Linked DNA regions of Pelodiscus sinensis. The protein of the gene in region 2 purifies or fractionates together with the protein of the main gene of each other region. This does not show direct contact. Links are inferred from orthologs where the notes say so. Each region holds a gene or a part of one and is shown on either strand. Other genes may lie near its edges.

Evidence for each region.
Region 1: the proteins of STK35 (region 2) and C23H1orf174 purify together in Homo sapiens (affinity purification with mass spectrometry; 3 studies listed by BioGRID and IntAct, counting the BioPlex papers as one, with this or other methods). This does not show direct contact. The link is inferred for Pelodiscus sinensis from reciprocal best matches to the Homo sapiens genes STK35 and C1orf174.

The regions. Positions count from the first base shown.
Region 1 is NC_134733.1:22,081,811-22,085,714, forward strand, and holds the start of C23H1orf174 (UPF0688 protein C1orf174 homolog), read right to left. Parts: upstream 2,501-3,904; 5' UTR 2,376-2,500; coding exon 2,361-2,375; intron 1,237-2,360; coding exon 1,123-1,236; intron 1-1,122.
Region 2 is NC_134728.1:3,047,179-3,051,082, reverse strand, and holds the start of STK35 (serine/threonine-protein kinase 35), read right to left. Parts: upstream 2,978-3,904; 5' UTR 2,538-2,977; coding exon 2,111-2,537; intron 1-2,110.

The DNA.
Region 1 (3,904 bases), on a different chromosome or scaffold from region 2:
CAGGATCTCACTTCCAGTGTGTTGCACTATAGTATGCTATTTTCCTTAGAACCATTTCCAAGGTTTTATGATGATAAAAACGTAGACAGTTCAACTGCAGTATAAACATAATATGCAAAAACCTGGTTTTTAGAGTGAAAAGAAAAAGGTGCCACTGCATTTTTTGCAGTTAGGTATTACTGCTTGCATGTTCAAAAAAAACTGCACACCTCTGCCATACCCTGAAGTAACTTGAGGAATTAAATGTAGCTATATCTGATCGGCAGTACCTCTAATTCCTGAGACATCCATATTAACAAGCAGATACATGAACAATCACAGTGATGAATGTTTAATATATCGACATATAGAATATTAATTTCTAATACAAGGCATGTCTGTTAAGCAAGTTTATGTCCATCTATCCTTGCTCTCGGCATAACTATGGCTACGTCTACACTGGCATGATTCTCTGGAAATGCTTTTAACAGAAAAGTTTTCCGTTAAAAGTATTTTCAGAGAAGCACGTCTAGATTGGACGCTTTTCCGCAAAGAAGCCCCGATCACCATTTTTGCGCTCGGGGCTTTTTTGTGGAAAACAAATCTTTGCTGTCTACACTGGCCCTTTTGCGCAAAAGTTTTTCGGAAAAAGACTTTTGCCCGAACGGGAGCGGCATAGTATTTCCGCAAAAGCACTGACAATCTTACATGAGATCGTCAGTGCTTTTCCGGAAAAAGTGGCCAGTCTAGACACAGCCTATGTGTACACTAAGTAACATTTAGTTGTAACCATGTCAGTCCCAGGATATTACCAAGACAAGGTGAGCGAGGTGATCACTTCTGCCGAATGGTCCCTTAACATTTAGCGGTAACATCTAGAACCTTTAACAGACCTGAAAGAAGAGCTCTGTGTGACTCAAAAGCTAGTCTCTCTCACTAACAGAAATTGGTCCAATTAAAAATATTACTTTGCCTCTGTAATAATATAATAAAAACATTTTGCTCAACATATTATTTTGATGGCCTTACTAAAAGTCAAAACATCCCCTAAATAATATTCCAAAGTTAACAGCTCATTGCAAAATGAATGTAAGTAATGTTCTTCAAACAACTCAGGCAGCAAAAGTCACATGTTTTTCCTACCAGACACACTGTTTTTGTAGATTTGCAAAGATCAACCTCTTGAGGAGATGAAAATTGGGTGGCTGCATGGTTTCCACCCTTCTGGCGTGCTGAAGTTGGCACTCCATCTGCAAGCTAAACCAAATGCAATTTTACAATCCAGAAGAGGAAGTGGGGGTTTTGTGACACCTTCAGCAGGAGAAGCATCTCTTCCAGCAACAAGAAATCTCAGAAAATATCATGGTAGGCATCCAAACGGCCATGACAGAGCTCTCCAGAACTGCAGGGTAGAACCCACTCTCCATGTATGTAAGGGGCAGCAGGAGGTTCAAACTCCTCACCACTGGACTGGGACTTGCAAATGGTTAAGACTTGCAGGACACACGGGTAGGAAGCCAGTCTCAGGCAGCGAAAAAGGCCACAGAACCCCACCAGTGCGCAAAGATCGCACCCTGGGGGACTCTGGGAAGGCTCTTGTTAGGGCAGTCTGTGGGGGCAAAGAGCACACCGGGCTCTGGGTGGGAGTGGAGAGGGCCCTCTTTGGGGGAGGCTGGGGCTCTGTGTGATGCAGAGGAGGAACTCTGTGTGGCATGGGGTGGGATACTGGTTAGGGGAGCTCTATGGAGGAAGGGGCACTGGGGGGAGGGCTGGGGTCCCGAGTGGCACAAAGGGGGGGAACCGGTTGGGGGAGCTCTGTTTGGGGCATTTGGGGGAGGGACTGGGGCTTCCTGTAACATGAGGAGGGTAGCTGGTTGGAAGAGCTCTGGGGGGGTCGCTTTGCAGAGGACTAGGGGTCTCTGTTGTGCAAAGGGGTAGCTGGCTGGGGGTATTGGGGATCTTGGGGAGGAGGCTGGCGCGCTGTGGGGTGCAGGGGTGATGCTGGTTGCAAGAGATCTGTGGGTGTGATTCGGGGGAGGCTGGTCGGGGGAGCTGTGTGGGCGCGGGGGGCAGCTGAGGCGGTGGCGCGGGGGGCTGGCTGGAGGCGCCCGGGTGGGTGGATCTTTGGGGTGGCGGGGGCTGTAGCTGTGGGGGGCGCGGGGGTAGCTGGGCGGGGGGAGGCGCAGGGGGCGCTCTGCAGGGGCGGCCGTTTGGAGGCGCTGCGGGGGGCGGGGTCTCCGCGCGCGCAGGGCTGGGGGAGGGGCTCCGTGCGGGGTAGACGGTTGGGGGAGCTGGGGGGGATTGTGAGGGTCCGTGTGGCGCTGGGGGGGGGGGGGGGAGCTCTGACCGGGCAGCCCCAAGGCAGCTCGGCCCTTCCTCACCTTTCGGGTCCTCATCGGACGCCGAGGAAGGGGCGGCTCTGGGCGAGCCCCGCTCCCGCTCCCGCTGCCTTCCCTGCCCCGGCCGCTGCTCGTCACCGCATTCCCCGCGCCCGCACCGCCCCTCACGCAGCGGCCGCCATTTTTGTGCGGGGCGCTCAGAACTTAAGGAGCGGGCGCCATCGTTGTGCGGGGCGCTCAGAACGTAAGGAGCGGGCCGGGGCCAGACACGCAGGGAGCGGGCGCCATCTTTGTGCGGGGCGCTCAGCACGTAAGGAGCGGGCCGAGGCCAGACATGCAGGGAGCGGGCGCCATCTTTGTGCGGGGCGCTCAGAACGTAAGGAGCGGGCCGAGGACCAGACACGCAGGGAGCGGGCGTCATCTTTGTGCGGGGCACGCACGAGGGGCGGGCCAACCGTCAGCGCCATCTTTGTGCGGGGCACCGCCCCGAGCACGTGGGGGCCGAGGGCTCTTAGCCCCAGGGTGGGTGCCGCTCGCAGGTGCTAAGGGGCCTGCAGTGTCGGGGTGGGACATTGGGGTGCAGAGAGGGGGATGTGGCAGGGTAACAGCCCTTAACCTTCAGGGTCCCTGGCAGGCTCCTGGTACCTGTGCCGGCTGCAAAGCTGCTCCCAGCGCCCACCGGCTCCCCGGGAGCCGCCCGCCCCAGCGCTGCTGCCTGAGCCGCTGGGCACGTTGACTGGGTTACGCGCATTTGCACATGGCTGGCCACAGACCGGTCACTAACAGTGGAAGCTGAGATGCAGGGAGCTAAGTGGGCAGCCTGTGGCCCATGGGGCTATAAGCAGCCCACCGGGCTCTGCGTGGCCCACAAAGCGTTTGGTTCACCGTGGCCCACGAGCAGAGTTGTCACATGCCACTGCTTTCTGTCCACCTATTTTTTTCATACAGCTGGCTACTAAAGTGCCACGCAGTAAAGAACGGGCACTGTGAAGGGAAGTGCGGGCTGACTGGACACACTTGACTGGAGAGCTGTGCTCCCTCTGCGTCCCATCACAGCGGTGCTACGGTTTAGTCAACACATGCTGCAAATTGAAGGTGTGCAAGCACAGTGAGCAAAAGTACCCTATCCTGGGAGACCGTCTTGGTTACCACAATCTTGTGGCCCACTGAGATGAAAGACGGCCACTCATGCAGCTCGCTCACTAGCCTAGGTAGACTATTGCTGCTTTATAGCCTTAGACAGCCATTGTCAACACACCACATGTCAAACTTTGCAAAGTAAATAGCCACAAATCACACTCCAACTAAGTTCTCAAGAAGCAATTTCCTTCCTTTCCCTAGCTGTACATTTTCATTATCGTTGGAAATTTTTTTCATCCTTTTCTATTATGGTGAAATCAATGTTTACTGAGGGATCAGTGTTCCCTGTAATCTGTGAGCTTGTGCGGCCACTCAGGAGAGAGTCAAGGGCTGCCCGCTGATTAGCAGAACATCCAGAGCTAAGTTTTTTGTTTCTAGTAGTGGTGCATGTTCGCACATGCCTCAGGGCACATACAATTTATTCTGCACATGGATGGAAAAGATTA
Region 2 (3,904 bases):
CCAGGTGCAGGTAGAGCTGGCTGGGGGGGATTAGAGGAGCTGGGGGGGTCTCCAGATGGTACATTTCAGGGAGGTCTCCACCAGGCGCAGGTAGAGCTGGCTGGAAGGGTTGGGGGGGCGGTCCTACAGCACGGGGGGGGGGGGGGCTGTGGGGCGGTCCCAGGTCAGGAGGGCTGTGGGGGGGTACCTTTCAGGGAGGTCTCCACCAGGAGCAGGTAGAGCTGTCTCGGGGGGGGTCAGGGAGTGCTGTGGGGGGGGTCCCGGGCACGGGAGGGGCTGTGGGGGGGGGGGTCCCAGGCGTGGGAGGGAGGCAGTATCTTTCAGGGAGGTCTCTACCAAGCACAGATAGAACTGGCTGGGGGGGTCCCAGACTGAGTGGGCTTTGGGGGGCTCCCAGGGCGCAGGGGGGAGGCGGTACCTTTCAGGGAGGTCTCCACCAGGCTCAGGTAGAACTGGCTGGGAGGGTTGGGGGGCTGTGGGAGGGGGTCCCAGGGCGCAGGGGGGGCCGTGTGGGGGTCCCAGGCAAGGGGGGGGGGAGAACACCTTTCAGGGAGGTCTCCACCAGGCACAGGCAGAGCTGGCTGGGGGGGTTAGGAGGGCTATGGGGGGGGTCCCAGGGTCGGGGGAGGGTGACTATGGGGGGGTCTCGGGGCCGGGGGGTTCCGGGGTGGGGGGCTATGGGGGCGGTCCGGGGGGGGCGGTACCTTTCAGGGAGGTCTCCACCAGGCGCAGGTAGAGCTGCCTTGGGGGGGGATAGGGGGATTATGGGGGGGTCCCAGGGCAGGGGGGCTGTGGAGGGGGTAACCTTTCAGCAAGGTACCTTTCAGCGAGGTCCCCACCAGGCGCAGGTAGAGCTGGCTAGGGAGATTATGGGGGGGTTAGGAGGGTTAGGGGGGCTCCCAGAGCCGGGGGGGGCTATGGAGGCGGTCCGGGGGGGCTCTGTGGGGTCCCAGGGGGGCAATACCTTTCAGCGAGGTCTCCACCAGGCGCAGGTAGAGCTGGCTGGGGGGGCTCTAGGGGGGGTCCCGGGGCTGGGGGGGGCTCTAGGGGGGCGGTACCTTTCAGCGAGGTCTCCACCAGGCGCAGGTAGAGCTGGCTGGGGGGGCTCTAGGGGGGGTCCCGAGTTGGGGGTTATGGGGGGGCTCTAGGGGGGTCCCGGGGCTGGGGGGGCTCTAGGGGGGCGGTACCTTTCAGCGAGGTCTCCACCAGGCGCAGGTAGAGCTGGCTGGGGGGGCTCTAGGGGGGGGTCCCGGGGCTGGGGGGGGGCTCTAGGGGGGCGGTACCTTTCAGCGAGGTCTCCACCAGGCGCAGGTAGAGCTGGCGGGGGGGCCTCTAGGGGGGGTCCCGGGGCTGGGGGGGCTCTAGGGGGGCCCGGGGGGCGGTACCTTTCAGCGAGGTCTCCACCAGGCGCAGGTAGAGTTGGCGGGGGGGGCTCTAGGGGGGGGTCCCGGGGCTGGGGGGGCTCTAGGGGGGGTCCCAGGCGGGGGGGCTCTAGGGGGACCCGGGGGGCGGTACCTTTCAGCGAGGTCTCCACCAGGCGCAGGTAGAGCTGGCGGGGGGGGCTCTAGGGGGGCTCGGGGGGGCGGTACCTTTCAGCGAGGTCTCCACCAGGCGCAGGTAGAGCTGGCTGGGGGGGCTCTAGGGGGGGTCCCGGGGCTGGGGGGGCTCTAGGGGGGCGGTACCTTTCAGCGAGGTCTCCACCAGGCGCAGGTAGAGCTGGCTGGGGGGGCTCTAGGGGGGGTCCCGGGGCTGGGGGGGCTCTAGGGGGGCGGTACCTTTCAGCGAGGTCTCCACCAGGCGCAGGTAGAGCTGGCGGGGGGGGCTCTAGGGGGGGTCCCGGGGCTGGGGGGGCTCTAGGGGGGCTCGGGGGGGCGGTACCTTTCAGCGAGGTCTCCACCAGGCGCAGGTAGAGCTGGCTGGGGGGGCTCTAGGGGGGGTCCCGGGGCTGGGGGGGCTCTAGGGGGGGTCCGGGGGGGCGGTACCTTTCAGCGAGGTCTCCACCAGGCGCAGGTAGAGTTGGCTGGGGGGGCTATGGAGGGGGTCCCGGGGCTGGGGGGCTCTAGGGGGGGTCCCAGGCGGGGGGGCTCTAGGGGGGTCCGGGGGGCGGTACCTTTCAGCGAGGTCTCCACCAGGCGCAGGTAGAGCTGGCTCTGCTTGTTGCCGTGGCTCATGCGCTGGCCCAGCCCGTCGCGCTGCAGGACGCACTCCTCGAAGCGCACCACGTTGGGGTGGCGGCGGCGCAGGCTGGTCAGGGCCCAGAACTCGGCCAGCGCCAGCTCCACGTTCTCGGGCGCGTCGCAGCGGATCCGCTTGACCGCCAGGCGCGCGCCGCTGCGGCCCGACACGGCCTCGTAGACCACCCCGTAGGAGCCGCGCCCGATCTCCGCCACCAGGCTGTAGCGCGGCGCCCCGGGCCCGCCGCCCGCCGCCATGGGGCCCCTCAGCGCCGGGCCCCGCTCCCGCTCGGGCCGCCGCCTCCGCTCCGCCGCGGGCCTTTGTGTCCCTCGGCGGCCGCCGTCCGCCGCGGCCGTTTCCATGGCTGCTGCGCCGCGGGGGGGCCTGGCTGCTGCCGCCCGCGAGCCCCACTCCTCATCCCTGCGCCCGGGGCGCGGGGAGCATCGGCCGCCTCCAGCAACCGGAGCCGGCTGCGAACGACACCGGCCCGACAGGCGAGGATGGAGACGGGGGGCGTGGGGCTGAGTCGGCGGACAGAAAAGCGCGCCCTGCCTGCCCCTTTAAGGCTTCAGCCAATCGCGGCGGCCGAGGCGAGGGAGGCCGAACCATTCAGGGGCGAGAGGGGGGACGAGAAGGGGGAGTCCAACCCAAAAGCCCCCCAAGACAAACAAGAGCCGTTGTTCCACGCACCGCTCGAAAAACCCCAATTAGGAACCCTAGTGAGGGGGGCTTGCTAGCCTTTCCGAGCGCTGCCGTTGGCTCAGCTGCCATCCCAGTGTCTGGCTTTCCCCCCGGTGCCCAATGGTTTCTCCCCTGGAGTGTAAACACTCCCTAGCTGGCCGCCGGGAGATGGGCGAGTCCATTATTTACCATGGGGAGGGGGGTGGAGGAATAACGCACTTACTTGTCCCCTGCCCCTGACAAGCCCCCGTGGCTGGGCCGGGGGCAGCTGCCGCCGCTCGGCTGGGGGAGGTGTCGCTGCTGCTACGGGGCCCGCCCCTGGGCGGCGCAGGGGGCTGAGGGGCCGCCGCTGCTGTGAGTCCCCCCCCCCGAGCGCGGTGCCGGGCTCCGGGCGCTGCGCGCGGACAATGCGGCTGAGCGGCGGGGGCTGCTGGAGCGGAGTCGGGGCGCAGTAGCCCCTTACGTAACCGCTTATGTAACCGCCGGGCCGGCCGAGGGGGAGGGGTGGGGTGGGCAGTGGGGGGGTGAGCGGGGAGGGGTGGGAGGGAGAGAGGGGTGGGCAGTGGAGGGGGTGAGGGGGGGGAGGGGTGGGCAGTGGGGGGTGAGCGGGGAGGGGTGGGAGGAGGAGAGGGGTGGGCAGTGGGGGGGGTGAGGGGGGGGAGGGGTGGGCAGTGGGGGGGTGAGCGGGGAGGGGTGGGAGGGGGAGAGGTGGGCAGTGGGGGGTGAGCGGGGAGGGGTGGGAGGGGGAGAGGGGTGGGCAGTGGGGGGGGTGAGGGGGGGGAGGGGTGGGCAGTGGGGGGTGAGCGGGGAGGGGTGGGAGGGGAGAGGGGTGGGCAGTGGGGGGGTGAGCGGGGAGGGGGTGAGGGAGAGGGGTGGGCAGTGGGGGGGGTGATCGGGGAGGGGTGGGAGGGGGGGAGGGGTGGGCAGTGGGGGGGTGAGTGGGGAGGGGTGGGAGGGGGAGAGGGGTGGGCAGTGGGGGGGTGAGCGGGGAGGGTGAGGGAGAGGGGGTGGGCAGTGGGGGGTGAGCGGGGAGGGGTGGGAGGAGGAG